Tamandua tetradactyla: one gene and its partner. Each later gene encodes a partner of the first gene's protein in a complex. Links are inferred from orthologs where the notes say so. Each region holds a gene or a part of one and is shown on either strand. Other genes may lie near its edges.

Region 1 (11,561 bases):
AGCCTGCTTTGGGCCAGGAACTGTACTGACCAGCTCTGGGCTGTCCTACTCTCAAGGAGCTCACAGATTAGTGAGAAAAGAAATAGCCGGGAGGGGCAGGTATCACCAGTTTATACACAAGGCTTCTAATCCATTATGCCATTTGCCCCTTTCACAACCTCACAAAGTGCAAGTGTCCTTATCCCATTCTGCAGCTGAGGAAGCAGAGGCACAGAGAGATGAAGGCACTGGTCTGGAGTCACACAGCTAAGAAGTGCTGGCTTTGCTCCAAATCCTATGTGTGCTCAGCTCCCTGCTGGGATGGGGACTACCAGGGAGCTGGTTACTGTTTGAGCAGGTGCATAAGTTCTAGGGCTTCAGCCTGCTGAGATGGGGACATCCTGGGAGATGGTTCCTGGGCTGGTTCACCTGTCTTCCTTGGTGGGCTCTTCAGGGATTGAGCTCCCTCCCTCCAGCTGGAACCCAAGCCAGTGCCAGGCACGAAACGGTTCACAGATGACCAGGCAGGTCTGCTTGGGGTGGGGGTTCTCCGGCCTCATGCTGGGACCATATGCCACCCCTCTGGTTGGCCGGTGGGTGTGGAACCTTCTTGGCCTATCACTGGCAAGGGAGGAAAGAACCCTGGGACCTTGAGCCTTAGCCCCAGGCCCAGGCTGGGGGAGCAGGGAGGGGCTTTGGGCCTGGCCGGGGCCCAGGGCCCACCTGGAGCTTGGCAGTGTTTCTGGGTCAGGGCGGGGAGAGGAAGTACACGGAGGGAGTTGCTCCAGGCCTGGCCATCTGGGCTGCAATGCTGCCTGCACGGGTGGGGGTGGGGAGGGAGAGGCCAGGGCTGGGTCCTGGAGAGTGGATCTCAGCCTCCCCCAACCCCAGGGGTTGGGTCACTGGAATGGAGCTCTGAGCTTTGGGGGTCCAGGGCTGACTGTCCTGTGAGCGTGGAAGCTGGGAGCACCTCTGGGCAGCTGAGCAGGCATCAGGCAGTGCGAGAGGGATGATTCAGGCAACCGAAGGGGAGGGGGGCTTTGGCAGCTGTATTTAACTCCCGAAATGGAGCCCCAGCTTAACCCCAATACCCATCTGTGACCTCAGGTGGGTCTCTCTCCCTTCTGGGCCTCAGTTTCCCTGACTACTCAGTGCTGGGGTGGGAGAGTCCATTATGATTGGAAACTGAGGCCAGATCCTACTTAGTGAGGAATTCAGGCAGGGGCCTCTGGGCAAGCAGCTGTCTTTCAGGGCCTAGACTTCCCTAGTTCAATCACTTACTCTGACTGTGTCCTTCCTGCTGTGGCATTCCAGGATTTTATGATGGGCTGTTTCCAGGGAGATCTGACCTCTTCTCTGGGCCCCTGGAGGGCAGGAGGAAACACTTCTGTGGTGGTTTGGGGACTCAGGGAGAGTTCTGGGCCTGATAGAATCCCAGGGAGGTGGGCCTGGCAGAGTTGCCTCATCCCCATTTAACATGTGGAGGCCCAGAGATGTCAAGGGGCTTTCTTTGGGCCACATAGCGTGACCGCCCCCCCCCCCCCCCCAGGTCCCTCCACCCCTCACTGCCCTTCCATCCCTCTTAGAGCTCTGTTCACCCAAGGATTCACCATCGGGCCCAGCCTTGATTGAATTGATTTAAAAAATACTCACCCTTCCCAAGGCCCTGTGTCTGTGAGCTTCCAAATGTCCATGCTTGGCTAGTCCCCCACTTCCATCTGTGCTGAGAGGGGCAGAGTCATCCAAGACTGGGATAATCTCCACCCAGACCTGGCCATTTTCTGCAAAGGATGCCATTAAATTCACTGGTGGATTTAGGGAGGAAGTCTGGGGGTAGTGGAGGCGGTAGACACCTAGTTTGTCACCAGGTATCTGAGCAGGACCTCACAGGGCCTGTCAGCATCTCTTGGCATGACGGGAGGCCCAGCCCCAGACACCCCCAACCCGCCACCCCCCACCCCACCTCCCAAATGATGGTCCTACTCTTGGTCCTACCTTGTTCCCGGATGAATGGTGGACACAGGAAGCCGTCACTAACTGTTAGACGTTAGACGGGCTGCCTCGCAGGGCAGAGGCCATGACCTTAACCATGAATGCCCTCTACTCCCCCCACCTCTGCCCAGGGGCCCAGTGACTCAAAGGCTGAGACTGGCTTGGGAGGTGGATCTGTAGAGGCTGCCTGGCAGGGGGCTTCCCCTGCTTGTGCTGCCTGCCCGCCTTCAGACAGGAAACCCGACAGGTCTGAGTTCTGCAGACATCCATTGTTTGGGGCCTGATGTGGGCTCTGATGTTTCCCCTGTCAGACTCCCCACCCCCAGTCCAGGCCTCCTTCTGTCCCTTGCCAAGTCGGATTTTAAGGAAAGCTCTAGGCTGTTGCCCTCCCCCGACTCTGTGCATCCTGCTCAGTGTGTGACAAACCTCCTCACCAGCCAGCCTGGGTTCAGTTTCTGCCTCCACCTCTTACAAGCCCTGTGACCTTGGGCCTCTCTGCTCCCAGTATTTTCTGTGAAATGAAGGCGGTAATGTCTGCCTCGTAGGTTTGTTGTGAAAGCAAATGAGATGATGTGTAAATGAGATGAATGCTGAGAACAGGGTCTTGGCTTCTGGTAAATTCGGAATACACTTTAGCTTCCATTATTATTATTAAGTCCAAACTACACCCTCATGCAAACTTTTCAAGGTCAAACTTGTGACCTTCCTTGGTTGGGGAGGTCGTGGATTCTGTGGTCCCCTCCAAGCGTGAGCCTCTCTCCTCCCTGGGCAGAGCCTAGTATTTCAGGATGGTCAATTGCTGCTGTTGTTTTCCTCCTATACATATGGCCCCTTCATGCAAGCCAGGTCCTTCTACTTTGTGCTCAGCAGAAGAAATGGGTGATCTATTGATGTTAGAGGCAAAAACTATTCTTTATGGGCTTTTCAAGGGTAAATCTGATGATATATATTTTTTCCCACTTCTTCTTCACTAAGTTTAAACCTAACACCCCCAGGAAGATGTGGCTGCATTGGGCTGACCAGGTGGCCCCTGTCCCCTGCATCTGGGTATCCCTCCTGACCTAGCCCTGGCCTGACCTGGACTTACCTGGACTGTCAGCCCCGTTCTCATGCTGTCCAGCACCTCCAACCCAGCCGGGTGCAGGCCTCCTGCTCCATGGTTCCTTGCCCAAAGGGGGATTCTGTTGATCCATTCTTCCCTGGTCTTCTCCTGTGGCCTCCTGGTGCCCCCATCTTTCAGCTCATTAGTGGGGTATGGCAGGAGCACAATGGAGGGTCTCTCCTGGGGGCTCAGGGCAGACTACTTTAAGGAGATTTGAGCTGGTTCCTGAGAGAAAAGGAGGAGTTTGCCAGGTGGGTGCAGAGAAGAATTTCATGTTAACACACCAACCAGGGCAAAAGGCCAGAGGCGGGAGATAGTGCAGGACCTTTGGAACGTCTCGGGTGGATGGAGCAAGGTGGCTGGAGTGGGGTAGGGCTGCAAAGGGAGGTGGCTGTTGTGACAGAGCTTGGTTCTTCGCAGTACTCTAGGGATCCGCCTGTGGAGGCTTTTGGGGGAGAGGGTAAATGTGGTGGTGGTGGTGGTAGGGGGGTTGTGTTGAGAGCTGATTCCACCAACTGGTTCCCCTATCTGCCACGTACTAAAAAATGCAGATGTCCAGGCCCATCCAGACCTACTGATTCAAACATCTGGGGAGGGGAGGGGCGGGGGACCTGGAAATATGCATGTTTTAATGAGCTCAAGGGAGATGTGGAGGCTATAGAAGCTGTAGTCTTGACCTACCGGAAGCAGCATGTCCGGGAGAAAGGAGCTGGGCCTGTCTGTATCCACCCTAGAGGGAAGAAGACAGAGGTGGGGGAACAGGAGCGCTGACCAGCTGGCTGCTAACCCTGTAGGCCCTGAGGCTTGAAGATCAGCAGGGCCTCTAAAGCTGATGCTGGTTAGAGCAGTCCCAGAGGGCTTTCCCTGGAGGGGTCTGTCACAGAAAGCAGTGTGGGGGTGGGGTGCGGGTGGGGATTTTCAGAACCCCTCCCCACCCCGGCCCAGGCAGTCTCTGGAAGTCTCTGCTGCTTCTGTTCGGAGGGAGGAGGCCCAGGGGCTGCGGGTGGGGGGTAGCAGCACGGGGTGGGTCTGGCTACTCTGAGATTGATTCCATATGCTCTGCTGGGGTGAGCAGGGAGCAGCTTTTGTCTGCCTGCACGCCCTGGGGGTCCCGGGCTGGGAGGAGGGGCAGGAAGCCCAGGCTCCTTCTCCCTCAGCTCCTGCCCTGCCCCCCTTCCTGCACTGTACCCAGCCCCTACTGGCCCACTGGTGGAGACTTTAGACTTCTGCTTGGTGTAGGTGGTAATGCCAACTCCCATCCTAGGGCCGGGAATGTAAATGCTTCTAACAATTCATGAACTGACCGTCCTCCTTGCACGAGATGGATTGGTTGGGAGGCCTTAGCTTCTTTTGGCAGAAAGGGAAACTGAAATACAGAGAGGGACTTGAGGAGTTCAAGCATAAGCTGGGAGATCACACCAGACTTGGGTCTTAGTTTCTGGCTACTTCTTCCCATTCCCCCCTGCCTCTACCCACACAGACCTAAGTCTACATTTGGGGGCCTCAGGACCATTTGCCACTGCCATGATCAGAGTCTGTGGGCAGTGAGCCTCTCATTCCCTTAAGCAAAGGCTGGAACTTGGCTTTCAGATTCCTGCTTTGGGAGGGGAACCAGGCCAGATGAACTCCAGCTCTTGGGAACAGGGCTGTTCCATGCATTCTGTGCGGGGCTCCCCAGGAGACCCCTATTTCCCAAAACTGGTGGGCCTTACTAGGGAGATTATTCATTACTGGAAGTACCAAGGTGTGGATAGGTGGATTCCAGTGGCCAGGCCAGAGAGGATGCCTGCTATGATGACCCACAGTTCACCCAGGTGTGAGCGCTTCCCAGGAGACTTTGCACTTTTAAGAGGCTTCTGTATAACGTCCGCTATTGAAAATGAGACTCGAAGGAGGCTTATGGTGTGCTTGTAGGCAAGGTGGTATTCTACCTTCCCGTGGTGGGATTGGCCAGTATTCTGAGAAGAGGAGCCAGGGAAGTTGTCTTAGCCCTTCCCTGGGGGGTGACTGGGTCTGGAGGTGCAAGACACCCCTTGCCCTGCCCTCCTGGTCTAGGGTCAGCCCCTGGCATCCAGCTGGGATCCAGGCTCCTCTCAACCTAGGGGCCCTCCCTGCTGGCTGAGTGTGGGAGGGGGCGCCCCCCTGTGAGGTACAAAACCTGGCCTGGACTCCTGCCCAGACTGCCCCGTCCCCTCCAGGGCCCCATCGTATCAGGCCCGGGGCACACCATATGGCCTAAGGCACCCACATGTGATCCCTCCCCCTTCTTACACTTGTACTCCTAAGACTGCATATTGGGGGGGTCCCAGGCTAAGACAACTTGCCTCTCTGCCACGGTCTTTCCATGTAAGGGAAAGACCCCTCTGAGGGAATGAAGATCTGGCAGCTTCATATCTGAATGGCTTAAGTGATAAATGCCACTCTGGGGCTGAGGAGGGGAGAGAGGGCCTGGATGGTCAAGGGAGGTTAGAAAGAGGAGTCCCTGGTAAGGTGGACTTTGGCCAGGCAGAGAAAAGTAGGATGGAGGGCAGTCCCTGCTGGCAGTAGAGCAAATAAAAGTGAGAAGTTGGGGGAGCAGAGAACACGAGACTGTGGTTTGGTTGGGTCAGATAGTTGGAACCCCACACGCTAGAGCAGGAGGTTTGGGCTTGTTGCTGTTGGGCTTTGGGAAGCCACAGAAGATTCTTGAGCTGGGGAGTGAGAAATCCAAATGCACAGAGAGAGTTGGGACCCAGCCTCAGTTTCCCATCTCTACAGCAGGATAGGAATTGTTCTGCCCTCCCGGAAGGCCCACCAGAGCTGCAGTAAATGTCCAGGGGGGTGCGGACTTCACTGCATCTGTGCTATTTTATGTATGGGACTCCCTGGTGGAGTGGGGAAAGGGGATTCCAAATCGAAGGGTGCAAGATGTTCAGATTTGGTGATGCCGACTGCATACATAGGTATTCATTATGTTCTCTCCACTTTTTGTGTGCTTGAAATATACACTATCATTTTAATTATAGGAAAGTAATGTTTGTATCAAATGGGACAATTTTTAAAATGTAAAGACTAGGCATGTGTCCTGCGTGAAAGAAGAGTGCTTTCCATCCGGCTGGGGCCTGGGGCCCGCTGAGCGGCGCATTTGCGGGTCGATTCTCAGCGGTGTGAGCTGGGGGCGGCAACGGGCTTCATTCGGACTCTGATCGAAGGTGACGGGTTCCCGGAGCATGGCGTGCTCCTGGCTGCGCTGCGGGTACCCTATGCCCCGTCTCCCGAGCGCGCAGACGGCAGGTCTACACCCGCCGCCCGGATGGGGCGCCCCGCGCGCCCGGGATCCGGCGTCAGGCCCTCAGGCGCGGGGGGGCGGGACCCTCCTGCTTCCCGACGTCAGGGTCTGGGGTCCCGGGGGCACTCCGGGCCGCCTCTCCCCGCTGACTCCAGGCCGGGATTTCTCCCGCGCTGACTTTCCGGGACGGTGCCAGCCCGGCCTCCCGGTCCCCGGCCCCCGCCGCGGGGCCGGCTGCTCGGAGGAGGGGGAGAGGAGGAGGAGTTTGAGCTACTTTGTCGGGCAGCCTTGGCCTCGGCGGCGGCCGCTCGGACGAGCGCGGGAGAACACAGGGACGCCCGCCGGGCCGTCCGGAGCGGGCGATGGGGCCCGTGTGAGCGCGCCCAGGCCCGGTCCGGTGCCCGGCGGGCGGCAGCATGTCCGCGGGCGGCAGCGCCAGGAAGAGCACCGGGAGGCCCTCCTACTACTACCGGCTGCTGAGGCGGCCCCGGCTGCAGCGACAGAGGAGCCGCTCCCGCAGCCGGACCCGGCCTGCCAGGGGTAGGCGCCACCCGGACCCCCTGACCCCCCAGGCCCTCCCGACCGCCACTTCACCACCCTGATGCCCTGGAATGCCAGGGACCCTGAATCCTCCTATCCATTTACGGGGAGCTCCCTCACCTGCCCAGTACCGTGTCTCCCTGACTCCAATTCCACCAGCTTCTCCCGCACCCTCCACTCTTGGGGATCTCCCTTTGCTGTGGGCAGGGAGAAGGGAGATTGGAATCCATGGTTTTCGACCACCGAGCCTTAGTTTACCCAGCTGCAGGGCATTAAAGTGATCCAGGGTGGCTCCTGGCTTTTTCTCTCCTCACCTTCACTGCCCTGGCCTCCCAGCTTAGCCGCCCTCCCAGCCCTGGACTTCTTCCCTTTTCAGGGATTTAACAGGCTCCCCCACCTCTTGGGTGGAGGGACAAGTGGGTGGACTTCAGGGGCCTCGACCCAGGAAAGAGCCGGATGCCGGGTTTGTAGAGATCCCTCCTGGACCCCTTCGCGTTGGTGGGCTTTGAAAGGAGTTTCTCTTTCAAGCCTGGGAGGGAGGGCTGAACTGAAGGGGGAGGTGCAGGCAGCATTTTCTTTTTCCAGTAACTGGATCCTCAGCTGGAAATGTGTGTGATCCAAGCGGGCTGCCTTCAGAGCGGGTGGGGGCTGGGACTTCCTTCCCAGGCTGGGTGGGAGGGAGGGAGGCCCCCTGGGAGGAGGCTATTGAAGGGCCCCTGGGAGCCTGGAGTCCCTGGCAAAGACTCAGGCCTACCCGGAGTGTCCATGGGGAGTCCGGGTCCCCGCCGCCCTCGGTGGGGACTTAGGCCACATTTCCACCTTCAGGTTGTCATGAAGAACAGGACGGCTGGTCCCATGGTCCAAACCCCCTGCACAGAGAGGGGTTTGAGCAATTGCTATACATAGAATCTGGCAGACCTAGGGTCAAATCCTGATCCCTCCGAGTGCTGATTGTGTGACCTAGGCTCTGCAGCCATGCCCCTGAGCCTCAAGTTTACCATCTTTGTGAGAGTATACGAAGTGAGCAGGCAGTCAGCATTAGCTTAGTTTGCTTCCCCACCCCACCCCCTCCAGAACGAGAAAGACTTTTTCCCACAGTCAGGGCTGAGCAACAATAAAACAGGGCTTCCTCAGGAAGTAGTGAGTTCCCCATTCATGGAAGGGTTCAAGCTGAGGCTGGGGTTATACACAGGTGTGTGCTGATGTTCAAGCCTTGAGGGTCTCTCCAGGCCTGTGATCCCACTCCCCTTTCCCTTCCCTGAAGTCATCTCTAGCTTCTACCTCACTTCAGAGTTGAACTCGGAGACCAGTGATCTGTGTTAAAGAACTGGTCACTGTGCTTTGGACAAGTCACTTCCCCTTTCTGACTCTCAGTTTTTTCATCTGTAAAATGGGACTAGCAGTATGTGGAAGATTCAGTAAAGTCCCTACTGTGATAAGGAGGAGTTGTACAACTACCCAATAACACTCACCCCTCTCCTCCTGAACCCACCCCTCCCACCCTCCCCTTGCCTCTGAAATGTTCTGTAAAAGCTTACCCTCCACTTTTAAAAAAAAATCTCAGCCCAGTTCCATCCCTGGCTGCAGAGGCACATAGGGGACCTGGAGTCTCCCTCTGAACCCAGGGGCTTTGTTGACTGGGCAGGGGACAGTCAATGTGTCAGGTCTTCACTGGAGCCCCAGTTCTCAGGCCCCACAGGAGGGAGCCTCTGCTTTGTGTCTCATCCTTGAAGGCGCTCACAACCTGCTGGGGGTGGGGAAGAGACTTGCTGAAGAGGAGTTAGAACTGAGGCAATCAGGGAGCGCTTCACAGAGGAGGTGACATTTGGACTGCTCTCACAAAATGGAAAAGATTTCCTTTGGCAGGAGTAGTGGTTGAATCAGATCTGGTTTCAAGTTGCAGCTCAGCACATAACTCTCCTGGGGTCAGTTACCTCTTCAAGCCTCAGGGTTCTTGTCTAGTAAATGGAGATAATGATGACAGGGTTCTTTAAGGAATGAGAACAAACACATGGAAAGCTAGAAACCAGTGTCTAGGTCCTGGGCTACAGTTGAGTGTGAGCTACTATGGTCCTTTCTCTGGACAGGAGGAAAATGCCTTGGGTGTTGGGGACAAATGGGCAGAATTCTTCCTGGGGCAGGGATGGGGAATGGGTTGGGAAGGGGAACAGGGAACGGTAGTTTGATAAATGGCCTTAAGTGATTGGGAATCATGGGGGTTGGGGTGGGGAAGAGAGCTGCTTGGGAGAATGACTGGGGCAGGGTGTAAGGTGGAGGCTGGAGGTCCCCTGCCCTCTGTAGCAGATACTGACCTCCCTCCAGAGCCCTGACTCTGAGGGGCCACCCTCTCACTAACCCCTCCTGAGGGCAGTGCCCCCATGCAGATGGTAGTGCATGCTGGGGGGGGGGGCTTCCACGTGGCCTTGAGCCAGGTCCTTCCTACCTCAGGCCTCAGTCTCCCTCTCAGCCTGGAAAGTTGGTCCCGTGACTGTGACATCAGACCTCAGAGGAGGGGTGGTTCCCGGTATCCCAGCCCAGCTCAGACACTTGCTCCATATCTATTCTGGCCTCTGCCACTAGCAGGGAAGAAAAATGGCCAAGAACTTGGGGTGGATTTTTGTTCGGAAAAAGCAAAGCGTAGGGAAGAGTGGACTAGAGGTTGGGACCTGCAGCTGATCGGGCCGGGGAAAGGGTTGTGACCAGGCTGCCACCTCTGAGAATGCTCCCTGCCCACTGACCCCCATCGGAGGCATGGGGAGGGGGCTCATTGGAGATTTGAGAGCAGGACCTTGCCCCAGGCAAGGCTGCAAGTGAGGGACAGCATCTGCTGTTGTCTGGGTTTCACCAATGTGGGGTGCAGAGTAAGCCCTAATGTTGGGGGCCACAAAGCTTGACAATGCCAGAGGCATCCTCCTTGGATGGCAAGGATGCTCTGGCCATTTGCCACTGTGCTTGTCATCCTGGAGTCCTGGATTGCATCATTGTGCAATCTTGAAGGTTGCACAATGAACATGGAATTGAGGGGGTCCTGTTCCCTGAAGGATGTCACCAGCCAGGGTGCCTGTCTACATGTCCTTACCGTGGTCAAGGAAAGACTCGTTTACCTGTTTGTCTGAACTTTTTGTCACCCCCAGAGCATTCCTGTCATGATGGGTAAAGTTCTGGCCCATTCATTCCGCCAGCACATGTCTTGAGGACCTACACTATATGCTGGGCTCCAGGTTGGACACCAGGGGACATGGAGATGAATCACACATGCTCCCTGCCCTCACTGAGCCCCAAGTCTGGTGAGGAGGTGACTTGGAGTGCACTGGAGCAGGTGGCCCTTTCTGATGGAATGGAGAGATGGCGAGTGGGAGACGGGCTCAAGTCCAGCTCAGCCATGAATTCGTTATCCATTTCTCCATCCATCAATTGGGGCTAATCTGTCTTGCTACGCCACTGGTGTCAGGGGACCTCTTGGAACTGTAGTGGGTCCATACCCGTGGGAGGCTTTGGTTCCTTTCTTCATGTCTTCATCCATCCACCTGCTGCTTTCCAGGGACCCACATATCGGGTCCGGATGGGGCTCTGGGGACTTGCCAATGTTTTCTCCTAAGATGGTTAAATCCTCCATCGTGCCCACATGTCTCTCCATTTGACAGCTGCTGTATGGCCCTCTTCTTCCACCTGGAAGAATTTGCTGTTATCTGTTCTGTGGGGCCTTGGCAGGGGTTTACAGGAGCCCCCCAATTACTCTGAAGAATAAGCAGGAGAGGCCTGCCTGGGAGATGGTCCCCAGGAGAGCTGGGGCTGCCTCCTGAGGTGGTGGTCCCCTCCCAGGGCTGGAGCATGCAGCTGGGTGGTCCGACCCCTGAGGTCCAGAGGGAGACACTGAGGCACAGAGGAGCTGGGACTATAGCAACATGATCAGGGAGGTTGCTGGTTTGGGTCTTGTCTGGGAGCAACGTTGAGGGAAGGGCCTGTGTGTGCCATTATAGGGAGGGACGGGGACCGTGACCTCTCATGAGGGATCTTGGCTTCAAACAGACTCCAAGAGGCCTCTGGGGCAGCAGTCTAGACCCCAAGGATTGGACAAGCCTGAGAAAAAACCCTGCAAATGGGGGCTGGTTGTGTCTTGTTGCCCTCTAACCCTCAGACATTCCCCTAAATGCCCAAGGCTTGGCTTTCTACCCCCAACTGGGACGAGACTCTGAAATCATGTTTGTGTCCTTTTCTGCCTTGTCTCTCTTTCTGTTCCTGCTGAGACACAATCCTTCCTTTGGAGCTTGGCCCCAGTTTCTGGGGAGCTCACTGCTTCTCGTGACATGTAACATGGGTGAAAACATCTCCTGCTTTCTGAGTCCCTCCTCAGTGTCTGGCATTGCACTGAACTCTGTACCTGAGTAATCTCATTTCCTACTCACAATGACCCCAGTAGATTTATTTTGGTATTATTCTCATTTTACAGGTGAGAAAACTGAGGCCCACCGAGTGAGAGCCTTGTCCAGGTCACACAGCTCAGAAACAGTGGAGCCCAGCTCTGCCTGACTCCGATGTTGAGTTTGTCAGTGTTCCACCTGGCTATTTGTAGGCACACGGGTCTTTCTCAGGCTAGGCCTTGGCTTTGATAAGACTTTCTCTTCTTCTTTGTAATAATGTCCTATCAGATTTTCCCAGGTAGCAACTCCACAGGGTGTA
Region 2 (11,740 bases), on another chromosome or scaffold:
AATGTGTTGTGTATAGCTGCCAAGTTGACCAAGTATGGACTATGATGGTTAGGATCTGATGTCAACTTGGCCAAATGATGATGCCCTATTGTCTGGTCAAGCAAACACTGGCCTAACCATTGCTGCAAGGATATTTTGTGGGCTGGTTGATAAACCAGAAGGCTGGTGTATTAAATCATCAGTCAGTTGACTGCATCTGTGGCTGGTTACATCTGGGATCAACTAAGGAGTGCCTCCCAATGAGATAATCCAATCAGTTGAAGGATTTTAAGAAAGAAGAGAGATTCTTTCATTGCTTCTACAGCCAGCGAGGCTCTCCTGTGGAGTTGATCCAGACCCTTCATCGGAGCCGCCAGCTTCATAGCCTGCCCTACAGATTTTGGACTCTTCCATTCCCACAGTTGCGTGAAACACCTTTATAAATCTCATATTTACAGATCATTCTTGTTGGTTCTGTTCTCTAGAGAACCCTGACTAACACATGCTAATTATGACAAAGTAGCAGGAGAGTAAAATATTGGGTCTGTGATGAACATGAAACTCTTATGCTAGCCTTTGGCTGTCAATTTCTGGATTTATTTTACATGAAAGTGAGTTAAACTATTTTTAAAAATTAAAACCTCTTCCTCAAAACACACCATAAAATGAAAAGACAGCAGTGGAAGAAAATATTTGCAAACACATGCACGCAAGAAAGGGTTAGTATCCATAACTGTCATGGTTAGGGACAGGTGTCAACTTGGCCAAGTTGTGGTACCTGTTTATCTGATTGGGCAAGCGCTGGCCTGTCTGTTGCAATGAGGACATTTCATAGGATTAGGTCATGATCACGTCAGCTACATCCACAGCTGATTCCATTTGTAATCAGCCAAAGGGGAGTGTCTTCTGCAATTAGTGATGCTAAATCTAATCATGGGAAGCCTTTTAAGGAGGACTCAGAGGAGACAGGTTCCATTCCTGCTTTGGCTGGTGAGCCTCTCCTGTGGAGTTCATCCAGGCCATCCATCAGAGTCATCGGCTTCGCAGCCTGCCCTGTGGATTTTGGACTCTGCGTTCCTACGGTCACGTGAGACACTTTCATAAATTTTATATTTGCAAGTGTTCCCTGTTGATTCTGTCTCTCTAGAGAACCTTAACTAATACAATAACGTATAACAAACTTTACAAATCAATAACAAAATATAAACTGATAAAAATATTTAAGCCTTCTAGCCTATATTCTGGAGCAGTTAGAAGGAAAAATCTGAGAGGATTGTATGGTAGCCCATGACAAACTCTGGGATCTGTCCTGCAACTACTTGTTGAAGAGTACTTTGAAAACTATTCCTTTTTTACTTCTTTGCTTTGTCTATATATTATACTATACAATAAAAAAGTTAAAAAATATATAACCTAATAGAAAAATGGGCAATAGAATTGAAAAAATATTTTACAGAAGAGAAAACGTGCATTACTAATAAATATATTAAAAGTGATCAACTTCATAATAATCATAGAATTGTAAATTTCATACCCATGAAAATAGCAAAACTGCAAAAGTCTGAAATATTAATTGTCAGCTATGATATGCAGCAATGGAAAATCAAACCCTGTATGTGGATGCATGCATTTTCAATAAGGGTTTTGGAAAACAATAAGGTCAAGGAATAGTTGTAGTGATAGTAATGAAACAGCAAGCTGGAAAGATGGTAGGTTTTGGTTAGAGAATGAAATGTTTAAAGTCATGGTTAAGAAGGCAGAGAAGTTTGTGTGATGATAAAGTAAGTATATGTTGCAAGTGGGTGGATGAGGTGGTCAGGAAGAGTTTATTGAAGATACTCTTGGGCCAATCAGGAGAGAGAAATTACATAGTAATTTGAACAGGGAAATTTGAGCAATAACACATTATTAATTATAATAGGGGATTGGAATAATGAGGGATTGGCTAGTAAGAAGTAAAGAGAACTCTAACGAATACAAGAACAGCAGATATAATATAAAAATAATGTATAATAGTCACTATCCTTAGAGCTAAAATAGAGCCCTCCCCTCACCCAGGGCTGAAGATTCAGACCTTGATAGAGAAATTGCCATGGTGCTGAGTTGGTGGAACTTTCTCAACATCTGCCCTCTAGAATTTGCAGAAAATGTACCTTCCAGGGTGCTGATTTTCCATTCTCAGGAGTGGTGTCTCACCAGAGGCACTCTGCTACAAAACCAGGGGAAGTTGATGCTTGCTGTGCATTGGGGAACCCAATGCTGCAGAAGGTGGGCACTAAAAAGGCTGGGAGCTCTGCAGGGGCCTGCAGAGTGAGCACACAGGAAACAGGAAGTAAACCCCTTCTTCCTGCAAAGTCTCTCCACCACCCTGTACTGATAAAATTTAGATTCATGCCATCTGGCAAAGTAAAAAATATTTAAAGTTCCCAGGGCCGTTTTCACAGAGCAAGCAAAAAGAGGAAGTGAGAAATAACAAACCAATACTGATACAGGAGGTCAAGGAACTGAATGGTCATGATGTTGGATTGTTGTTCTTGTGGATATTCAAATGACCCAGGGTGTTGGCTGAAATTGGGATGGGTTGGAGGGTGATAAATCAATTTGTTCTTCCAATTGTAATCCTTGGTCCACCTGTATCAGAATCAAATAGGATAGCTTAAATAATACAGATTCTTTTGCACCATCACAACTTTCTAAACTGCGGTATCTGGGAATACTTCAGGGCCAAGAAATCTTCTTTTTAACAAGTGTACCAGTAGATTTAAAAGAAAAAATTAATTATCAATACTTCAAGTACATAAAAGCAAATTAAATATCATAACAGACACCAGTATACCCATCATCCAGTTATAACAAATAGTACATTTCCCTTGTTTCCTACAAACCCTTTTTTAAAAAATGTGTTACCTTTTTTGGGTCAAGCTCTACCCTCTCATTTCTTTCTCCTCCCTTGCTCAAAGGAGGTGATTATCATGTATGCTCTCATTTGAAAATTAGTACCTTAGGCAATGGAGAACTTTTGAGGGATTTTAAGCAGGGGTATTACACTATCAGAGAGGTGTTTTGGGGAAATCAACAAACTGCTCTGCTAGACAGCATGTTAAGGAGAAGGAATAGAGATGGGGGAGTGAGGAGGTAGGTTCTTTGGCCCAGAGTGTATAGTTCTAAGGATCTGAAGTAGAGTGAGAGACCTTTGCTTCTTTTGCTCTTGTGTGAAGCTCACTGTTTTGTCATAACTGTGAATCCAGTCTTTTACCCACTCTCTATTCTGCCAGTTACTTCACTCCTTTTTTCACTTGCTTCCCTACCATGCTGGTTTGAAAGGATTATGAACCCTCGAAAAGTCATTTTTTAATCCTGATTCAATCTTGTGGGAGCAGCCATTTAAACCCTATTTAGTACTGTATGTTGGAAACATGATTAGATTATCTCCATGGAGATGTGACTCGCCCAATTGTGGGTATTAACTTTTCATTAGAGGGAGATGTGACTCTACCCATTCCAGGTGGGTCTTGATTATTTTACTGGAATCCTTTAAAAGAGGAAGCATTTTGCAAAAAGCTGGAAAGCCTTGACAGAGACATGAGAACCACAGAGCCCATGTAGCCAAAGACCTCTGGAGATGAAGAAGGAAAACACCCCTAGGGGAGCTTCATGAAACAAGAAGACTGGAGGAGAAAGCTAGCAGATGTTGCTATGTTCGCCATGTGCCTTTCCAGTTGAGAGAGAAACCCTGAACTTATCAGCCTTTCTTGAGTGAAGGTTACCTCTTGTTGGCACCATGGTTTGGACATTTTTATAGACTTGCTTTAACTGGGACATTTGCTTGGCCTTAGAACTATAAACTTGCAACTTAATAAATTCCCCTTTTTAAACGCCATTCTGTTTCTGGTTGTATTAGTTAGGGCTCTCTAGAGAAACAGAATCAACAGGAAATATTCGTAAATATAAAATTTATAAAAGTATCTCATGTAACCATGGGAACATAGAGTCCAAAATCTGCAGGGCAGGCTGTGAAGCTGACAACTCTGATGGAGGGTCTGGACAAACTCCCCAGGAGAGGCTTGCCGGCCGAAGCAAGAAGAGAGCCTATCTCTTCTGAATCCTCCTTAAAAGGCTTCCAGTGATTAGATTAAGCATTACTCATTAAAGAAGACACTCCCCTGGGCTGATTATAAATGGAATCAGCTGTGAATTTATCCGATGTGCTCATGATTTAATTCTATGAAATGTCCTCATAGCAAAAGACAGGCCAGCACTTGCCCAACCAGACAAACAGAAACCACCACCTGGCCAATTTGACACATGACTTCATCATAACACTGGTATATTGCATTCTGGAAGCTAGCAAATTTGAATACCTACCCAGGCTGGGCTCCATAGTTACTCATTTCACCTATATGCTTATTGCTGCCCCAACATTCCTTGCTTTCTTGACATTTTTACCATTTTGCCACCCTATCCTCCAAGCTTCATACCATAGAATTGTTTCTTCCATCTTGAGAAAGTGGCCTTGTATTTTTTATTTTATTTTATGTATATTGAAACTCACCAGTGTCAAAAATGAGGAATATTTTTACCTGGGCAACTTCAGTGGGTTGAAGCCTATTTCAAACTTGGCTGAGTATGGAAATTACTCAAACTTTGTTCTTTATCAGAAAATACAAGTAAAATCTCAATAACATTGCCAGATTTTGTTTGTCTGTAGAGTAAATTTTGATGAGCAATTGTGAAAGCTGTCCAAATGACATATAAAAGTATGTTTAAGTAGGTCAGATTTTGGAATTTCATTTATAAGCAAATGTTTTTTTTTTTTTTTTTTGTTACTTCCATTGCATAGATTTGGCACTGGGTCAAAATTAAAGCTTTTGATTGACTGTACTTATTTTGCTTGTAAGCATAATTATATCAAACCAAGCACATGGAGGTCAAATTCTTATTATAGACACAGCAATATGGATAAATCTCAAAATAATGATGTTGAGGGAAAGAAGCCAGATGAAAGAAAGCACCATACTGTATGCTTCCATTTATATAAACTGCTGGAAAGTACAAACTTATGTACAGGGACAGAAAGCAGATTAGTATTCATCTCAGATTCAGGGCAGAGGTTCTTGGCAGGAAGGGGTTGAAAAGACACAAGGAAACTTTGGGGGGTTGTGATGGTTAGGTTCATGTGTCAAACTGGCCACATGCTACTGTTCAGTTATTTGGTCAAGCCAAGCACTGGCCTGATTGTTACTGTTAGGACATTTTGTAAACTTAAATCATCAGTAAGCTGATTGTTTGACTGATTACAACTACAATCAACTGAGGAGATTGTCTTCAACAATGAGACGCATCTCATCCAATCAGTTGAAGGTTTTAAAGATGAAGTGATGACTTCAGCAGTCAGAAAAGAGAACTTCCATCTCTACTTCAGCCAGCCAGCTTCTCCTAGGGAATTCATGGAAACTTTCATCAGAGTTCCTAGCTTACAGCCTGCCCTATGGAATTTGGATTTTTACATCCCCACAGTCATGTGGGATAATTTTATAAAATCTCATATTTACAGATATCACCTGTCAGTTCTATTTTCCTTAGAGAACCCTAATAAAAGGGTGATGGAAAGCTTTATCTTAATTGTGGTGATGTTTTCATTTGTACACATTTGCTAAAACCCATTGAATCACATAGCTTAAATATGTACAGTTGATTGTGCATCAGTAATCCTTCAATTAAGTTGTTAAAAGGAAAAATTTTGTTTGAAACCATGAAAAAAACAATAAACCAACAAACAAAAAAATCCTTGTTATAGTCAGGTGGTGTCTAGGCCAGGGATACCATATAAATATATTCATTCATTCAATCAGCATTTTTGAGCATCTACTGTGTACCAGGCACTCTGCTGGGAACACAGCACTAAAAAAGACAGATAAGATCCCTACTATAGGGATCTTACATTCTGGCAGGGAAGTTAGATCAAGTAATATCAGTAAATTGTGATAAGTATTATGACAGGAACAGAAGGGGCAGCTTTGAAATGTTTAGCAGGGTGATCTAAGCTGATTATTTGGTTGTACTGTGTTGAGAAAGATTCTGAACTTTAGCAGGAAAGAACTGTAATTGATTGGCACTGTCTCCCATGTGGTGGTATGAATGCCATGTATTTGCCAATATAGGTCGATGCTCTCAAAATCGGCCTTGTGATAAATTTCCCAGTAATCTGACTATTTCAACTGGTTCTGAAAATGTTTGAGGGTAATGAGGATTGCTTGCTGTTTTTATTTTTAGTGCAAGGTATTCTTTGGGAAAGCATCCACCTTCCAGGCTGTGTAGACAGTAGACAAAGTGCTCTTTTATTCTCAAACATTCTGTTTTCAAGTGTGTTTTACCCGCTTGTATGACTGTCTTTGCTAAGGGGACTGCAGCTGGATTGTGTATTGGAACCAGGTCCAGAAAAAGAATTGCTAAAGAATGCAAGTAAACAGGATGTCAGATGTTATCCTTAGCTTATTTCCCTAAACATAGCTTTTTGGCTGCAATGTAAAATGTCATTCTTCTAGCTTCTGCTTATACACAAGAATGGCTGACAGCAGGCACAATCTTCATTCATTTGGCACGTTGTGCCATGCAACTCAACGTCTTTTGTAAAGAATGAGCATGATACACCATCTCTGAGAGACAGTTATGAGGAAGCCCAGCCATTTCTTGGAAGTATTTTCTCAGCCTACCTTCTTTGAGCCCTGTTGTTCCAGCACAGCTCCCCATGAGGCTCAGATCTGTCTGACCTAAGAGCCAGTTGGCATCCTCTTCCTGACAGAAGCCAGATTTTCACTGGGACTAGACTATTTATTGACAGCCTTTTCCCAGACTGGACCATAAGTGTCTCATTTCCAAGGTCCCCTGAAGTGCTGTTTCACCTCTATTTTCCAAAAGCACTTGCTCTCTTCTCTCTCCTCCCTCCCCAGCATCCTCCTACTTCCTTCCCTTACAGCTTCTTGCATTGTGTGTGTGTGTGTGTGTGTGTGCGCGCGCGCGTGTGCATGTGTATGCCTGTGTGGTGTTCTTTTTTTTTTATCCTAGTGAATTTGTTTTGAAGGTTTTGAAAAAGAAAACCAGTGGTGTCCATTCTGTCTGCATCTTTAAATGTGGTCTCTGTGATTTTAAAAGTCCAAATTTTGAGTGGGTTCCACTGTTGTCTAAGAAAAGTTGTTTTAAAACTTTGCTCTGCAAGCCCCAACAGAGAACTCATAAAAAGGAAGACAACAGCAGATGCAATCGCGGATGTGGCTTAGTCCTTGCAGCTGCCCCAGAGAGCTGTTCGGAGTGTACAGTCCTCAGTAATGAATCCAGAAGAGCGAATCGTGACATGGCTTATATCTTTGGGAGTTTTAGATTCTCCCAAAAAGACCATCTGTGATCCGGAGGAGTTCTTGAAGTCCTCGCTGAAAAATGGGGTAGTTCTGTGCAAACTGATCAACAGACTTATTCCTGGCTCAGCGGAAAAGGTAAGGTAAATTTGTAGTATCTTTGGGATTGCCTAGTACCAGAGAGCAGTAATAATGAAGCCCTTGGAATTTTCTATTGTCCAGGTCATGAGAATCTCCTACTTCATTATCTTTCTAAGCGTTAGATATTCTTTCTTACTGTTTTTGAAGTTAGAAAAAGTCAGAAAATGAAATTTTATCTTTTAGTAATTAGAACCCAAGTATCAGTGTGGTAAAATCCTATTATACCACTGGCAACAGAAGACAAAGGAGAATACTCATATCACAAACTGATTCTGCTATAAAGATGCATGTTTGGAATGTGGGGTGCATATATGCCTCTGGAATAATGAGATGATTTATAACAAATATCGATGGTGTTTGCTGACAGTTTGACTATGATCAATGTAGATTTCCTTTACAAAAAAAAAGATGAACTATCCATCAAGGGAGAGATGATTTTGTAAGGAAGAGAAAGAATCCAAAATATCACTTAAGGTTTGTAAAAACAAGAGAAATCAAATATATGTTTCAAATGCAACATGCATTCAAAGTGAAACTAAACTTACCCTCTTTTAAAACTCCAAGATTTTAAATGTTGGAAACTCATGATCATGAGCGTGGATGATTTCTAAAGTAGGCACCTTAAGTAAGTTTAAAGGTGAAGTCCTATGATTATTTTCTGAACGCTAGCAAGGAATGTGACTGAGTATAGCTCTTCTGCCTTATGAACCAGTTTGCATTTTTAGTGAGCTAATAGAGCTACTTATCATTTCTTAAACATGAGAAACAATGATAAAGTGGTGATTAAATGTGGAGAAATGTGATAAAATGTCAAGAGCAGCATAGGGGAAAATGTAACTTTAATAAATCATCATGAGGAGCAGGGAGGGAGGAATCGGGTATTGCCTCCTTGTTTGAAAGCAAGACCAAACTTCAAAAAATGGTTGTGGTCTCTCTGATTTGCTATCATCACACTCTGGCAGAAGGCATGAGAAAAAATTTTTAAGTAGAGATGGCTTGGGACTAAAGGTTTGGTGACATTTGAAACATAAACTGACCGTTTAGATTTTTGCATCACTTCCGTCAGTGGTTATTTCTCTTCCTGGTTTGACAGCAGCATTGTCCCCTGCCTTAAAAAGCCTACCTTATCTAGTTATCAACGAATGATGAATATGGTCTGCTTGGCATGGGATGACAGTCTCCAAGTGACATTTGATTATGTTTCTCTAGTATTGTCTGGAGCCCCAAAATGAAGCAGACTGTACCAACAATATTAATGACTTCCTGAAAGGATGTGCAACACTTCACGTGGAGGTAAGCCTAGCCAGGTTGCCTGGCTTCTTGTCGTCATTTTTCACTCTGCTGACAGATCGCCTTGGAGTAAAAGTACTTGGTTTGTTTTCACTGTCAGTGGCCACTGAGTTAAACAGAGGTAGCATTTTATGGGAAACCACAACTGAGGTCGGTGGTTGTCCCCAGTAGTGGATTGCTAGCCTGTTTTCTCCAGAAGCAAGTTCTAAAGAAATAATAAGTACTCAGAAAATGATTTCTCTTAAATACAGCACCCAAGCACTGAGAGCAGTCTTACAGCGACAGAGCTTGAGTGAGTACGCTTCTTTACTATGGGGAGCCAAAAGTGGACGCTTGGCTGGAGAAGGTCACTGCTAATCCCCCATTGTCATTTTTTTTCCCATTAGCACTCTGAAAGAGAGGCCTTGAAATGCTAGGAGAAACTGTCCCTGAGGTAGAAATTGTATATTAAATTAGAGTGCACTATTTGTGTTATATATAAAATTAAATAATGTTGCACTATATATATTATATATATATTTTATTATATGTTTAGGGAGTGTTGCTGAGAGCTGATACCTTCACCACTGTGTCAAGTTATTTAACTTGTCTTTGCCTTAGTGTTTTAATCAGTAAAATAGAGACATCAATAATATCTATTTTAAGGATCAAATGAGATACTGCGAAATAATTTAGGACTAAGAGCTCCAACCTCATAAGGGCTCTGAGATAATGTATGCAGAGTGCTCAGCACGGGGCCGGGGAAGTTAGAAGTGCTCTGCATGAGTGGACAAGTTCTAGTAGTAGTACTTGTGGGAAAGCAACATTTGGAATGGTTCAGAGCATGGTCTCTGGAGCCAGACTGCTTGGGTTCAAATCTCAGTCCTCTCTCACCAGTAGTTTTCTGACCTTGGGCACATTACTTAACCTTTCTATGCCTAGAAAATGGGAATATTAGTGGTACCTATGTTGTAAGATTTGGGTGAGTTTCAATAAATTCATACATACATATATAAAGCCCTTGGAAGAGCACCTTGCATGTAGCTTGTATTCTCCAACACGCAGCTATTATTGTTATCATTAGCAGTAATAGCTTTGTCCCAGATAAAGTTTGCTTCCTTCACAATTTTTATAGTTACTGCCATCATCACGATACACTTTTCTCCGAATATTTTATTCCAGGTTTCCCAATTGCCCAATTGGAGCTGTGTGGTTTTCAGGTAGATGTGGCTTGAGACCACTTAAAAACCTATAGAATGATTTCTACTGTGGAACAGATCATGATGTTTTCTTTTTCATTTTTCAAATAAAAGATGAAGAAGTACCCAATGGTTTCTGGACTCAGAAGCTGTCAGAAGGTATTCTGAGCTTCTTTGCAATTCTAAGAATGCTTGATGATATAGAAACCCTTCCTGTGTCTGGCATTATTGGGGAATGAGTTGTTCTACCAAAGTGGATTTTCCGGCTAATTAATGCTTACCCTTTTAAGCACCAATACTTAAAATCCTTTTAGCTTCTTTGGATGGAAATCTTTCTAAAAAGTATATCATAATTTTCCTTCTTCTTAAATGAAAGGCATTGGGCATATTTTGACCTCTCTTTGATGATTCAGGCTGACCTTTATGAGCATTGTAATAAAGCAGAGTCTGATGTCATGTTCAGACACACAAGATTTGTAGTGCGAAGGACCTGGGTTAGCCTCTTGGAAAAGTTACTTCATCTCTCTATGCTCCAGTTTCTGCCTCTGTAAAATGAGCACATTAATAATATCTACTGTATTTCTTTTTAAGGATGAGATGAGATAATGTAATTTACTAATCTCATTGCACTTACCTGATTGCACGGAAAATATGCACAATAGCTGGCCGCTATTACTGGGCGGTGTTCTTTGCACTGGTGTGTGCAAAATTACGCTTTTAAGGGATGCATAAGAAGCACATCAAAACACTGAGAGAACCCTGAGAGACATAATGATAAAATCAATACCACAACAATGTGAATGTAATTAACATCACTGAACTGTACGATTAAAAGTAGATTAAACAGGAAATTTAGGTTGTATTCATGTTATCAGAAAAAAAGTTTTTAAAGTTATCCATAGGCGTGTACAACACAAAGAAGGAATCCTAATGTAAACTATAGACTATAATTAATATAATTATAGTAATATTGTTTCAACAATTGTAACATACTACATTAATGCAAAATGTTAATAATGGGGAAAACTCTGTGCATGTGTGTGTGTGTGTGTGTGTGTGTGTGTGTGTGTATGGGAACTCTACCATCTGCGTGTTTTTATTTCTGTAAACCTACTACTACTATAAAATATATGTAAGATCAGTACAAGAGAAATGAGACTGAAAGCTGTGCCAGGGAACATCCAGCAGCCAAGGATGCCGAACATCCACTCCCAGGTAGCTAAGAGAGAGAACTAAACATGAATATTTGCAAAAGTAACTTTAGATATAGTCATTCCAAGCCCAAAATGCCTAGCACAGTGTCTGGCATAGCACATACTTAATGCATTCTGTTGACTATATAAAGTTGTAAAACTACAAAAAGCAAGAAGAGCAGGGCTTGACTAATGCCCAGCACAGGATACTACTGATCTGAAGAAAGAATGACAGCTTGAAATGGTCAGTTTGGGAACGCAGTAAAAATAGAGCCAGAGATACAACACACACTGACCAATAAAGTATTGGAGTGTGGGCTAGTGGTGGCCACATTATAGAGCTGCCACTTTCTGATCATCTGATTGGGTGACCAGTTGACCTCTTTAAATAGCCTTCAACTTCTCAGAAGACTTAGGTGCCTTAGGATCTCTAGAGGATCACATAGCTAGTAATTAGTTGGAGGTAGTCCGCTAAGACATCTGGGAAACAAATGTGCTTTCTGAAGCCCCTCCCCAACCTTAATATGTCCTTGATGCACAAATTTAAAAAAAAATGTTTTTTGAAGTCCAATCCATCTATTTTTTCTTTATTGTTTTCTTTTGGTGT

What was found.
Region 2: DAB2IP (region 1) and ARHGEF6 share a complex: the UniProt entries of both Homo sapiens proteins name them as parts of the cytoplasmic complex. The link is inferred for Tamandua tetradactyla from reciprocal best matches to the Homo sapiens genes DAB2IP and ARHGEF6.

Annotation. Positions count from the first base shown.
Region 1 is NC_135328.1:35,526,127-35,537,687, reverse strand, and holds the start of DAB2IP (disabled homolog 2-interacting protein), read left to right. Parts: upstream 1-6,757; coding exon 6,758-6,881; intron 6,882-11,561. UniProt on the Homo sapiens protein: Functions as a scaffold protein implicated in the regulation of a large spectrum of both general and specialized signaling pathways.
Region 2 is NC_135353.1:22,456,767-22,468,506, forward strand, and holds the start of ARHGEF6 (rho guanine nucleotide exchange factor 6), read left to right. Parts: upstream 1-6,970; 5' UTR 6,971-7,304; coding exon 7,305-7,469; intron 7,470-8,681; coding exon 8,682-8,765; intron 8,766-11,740. UniProt on the Homo sapiens protein: Acts as a RAC1 guanine nucleotide exchange factor (GEF).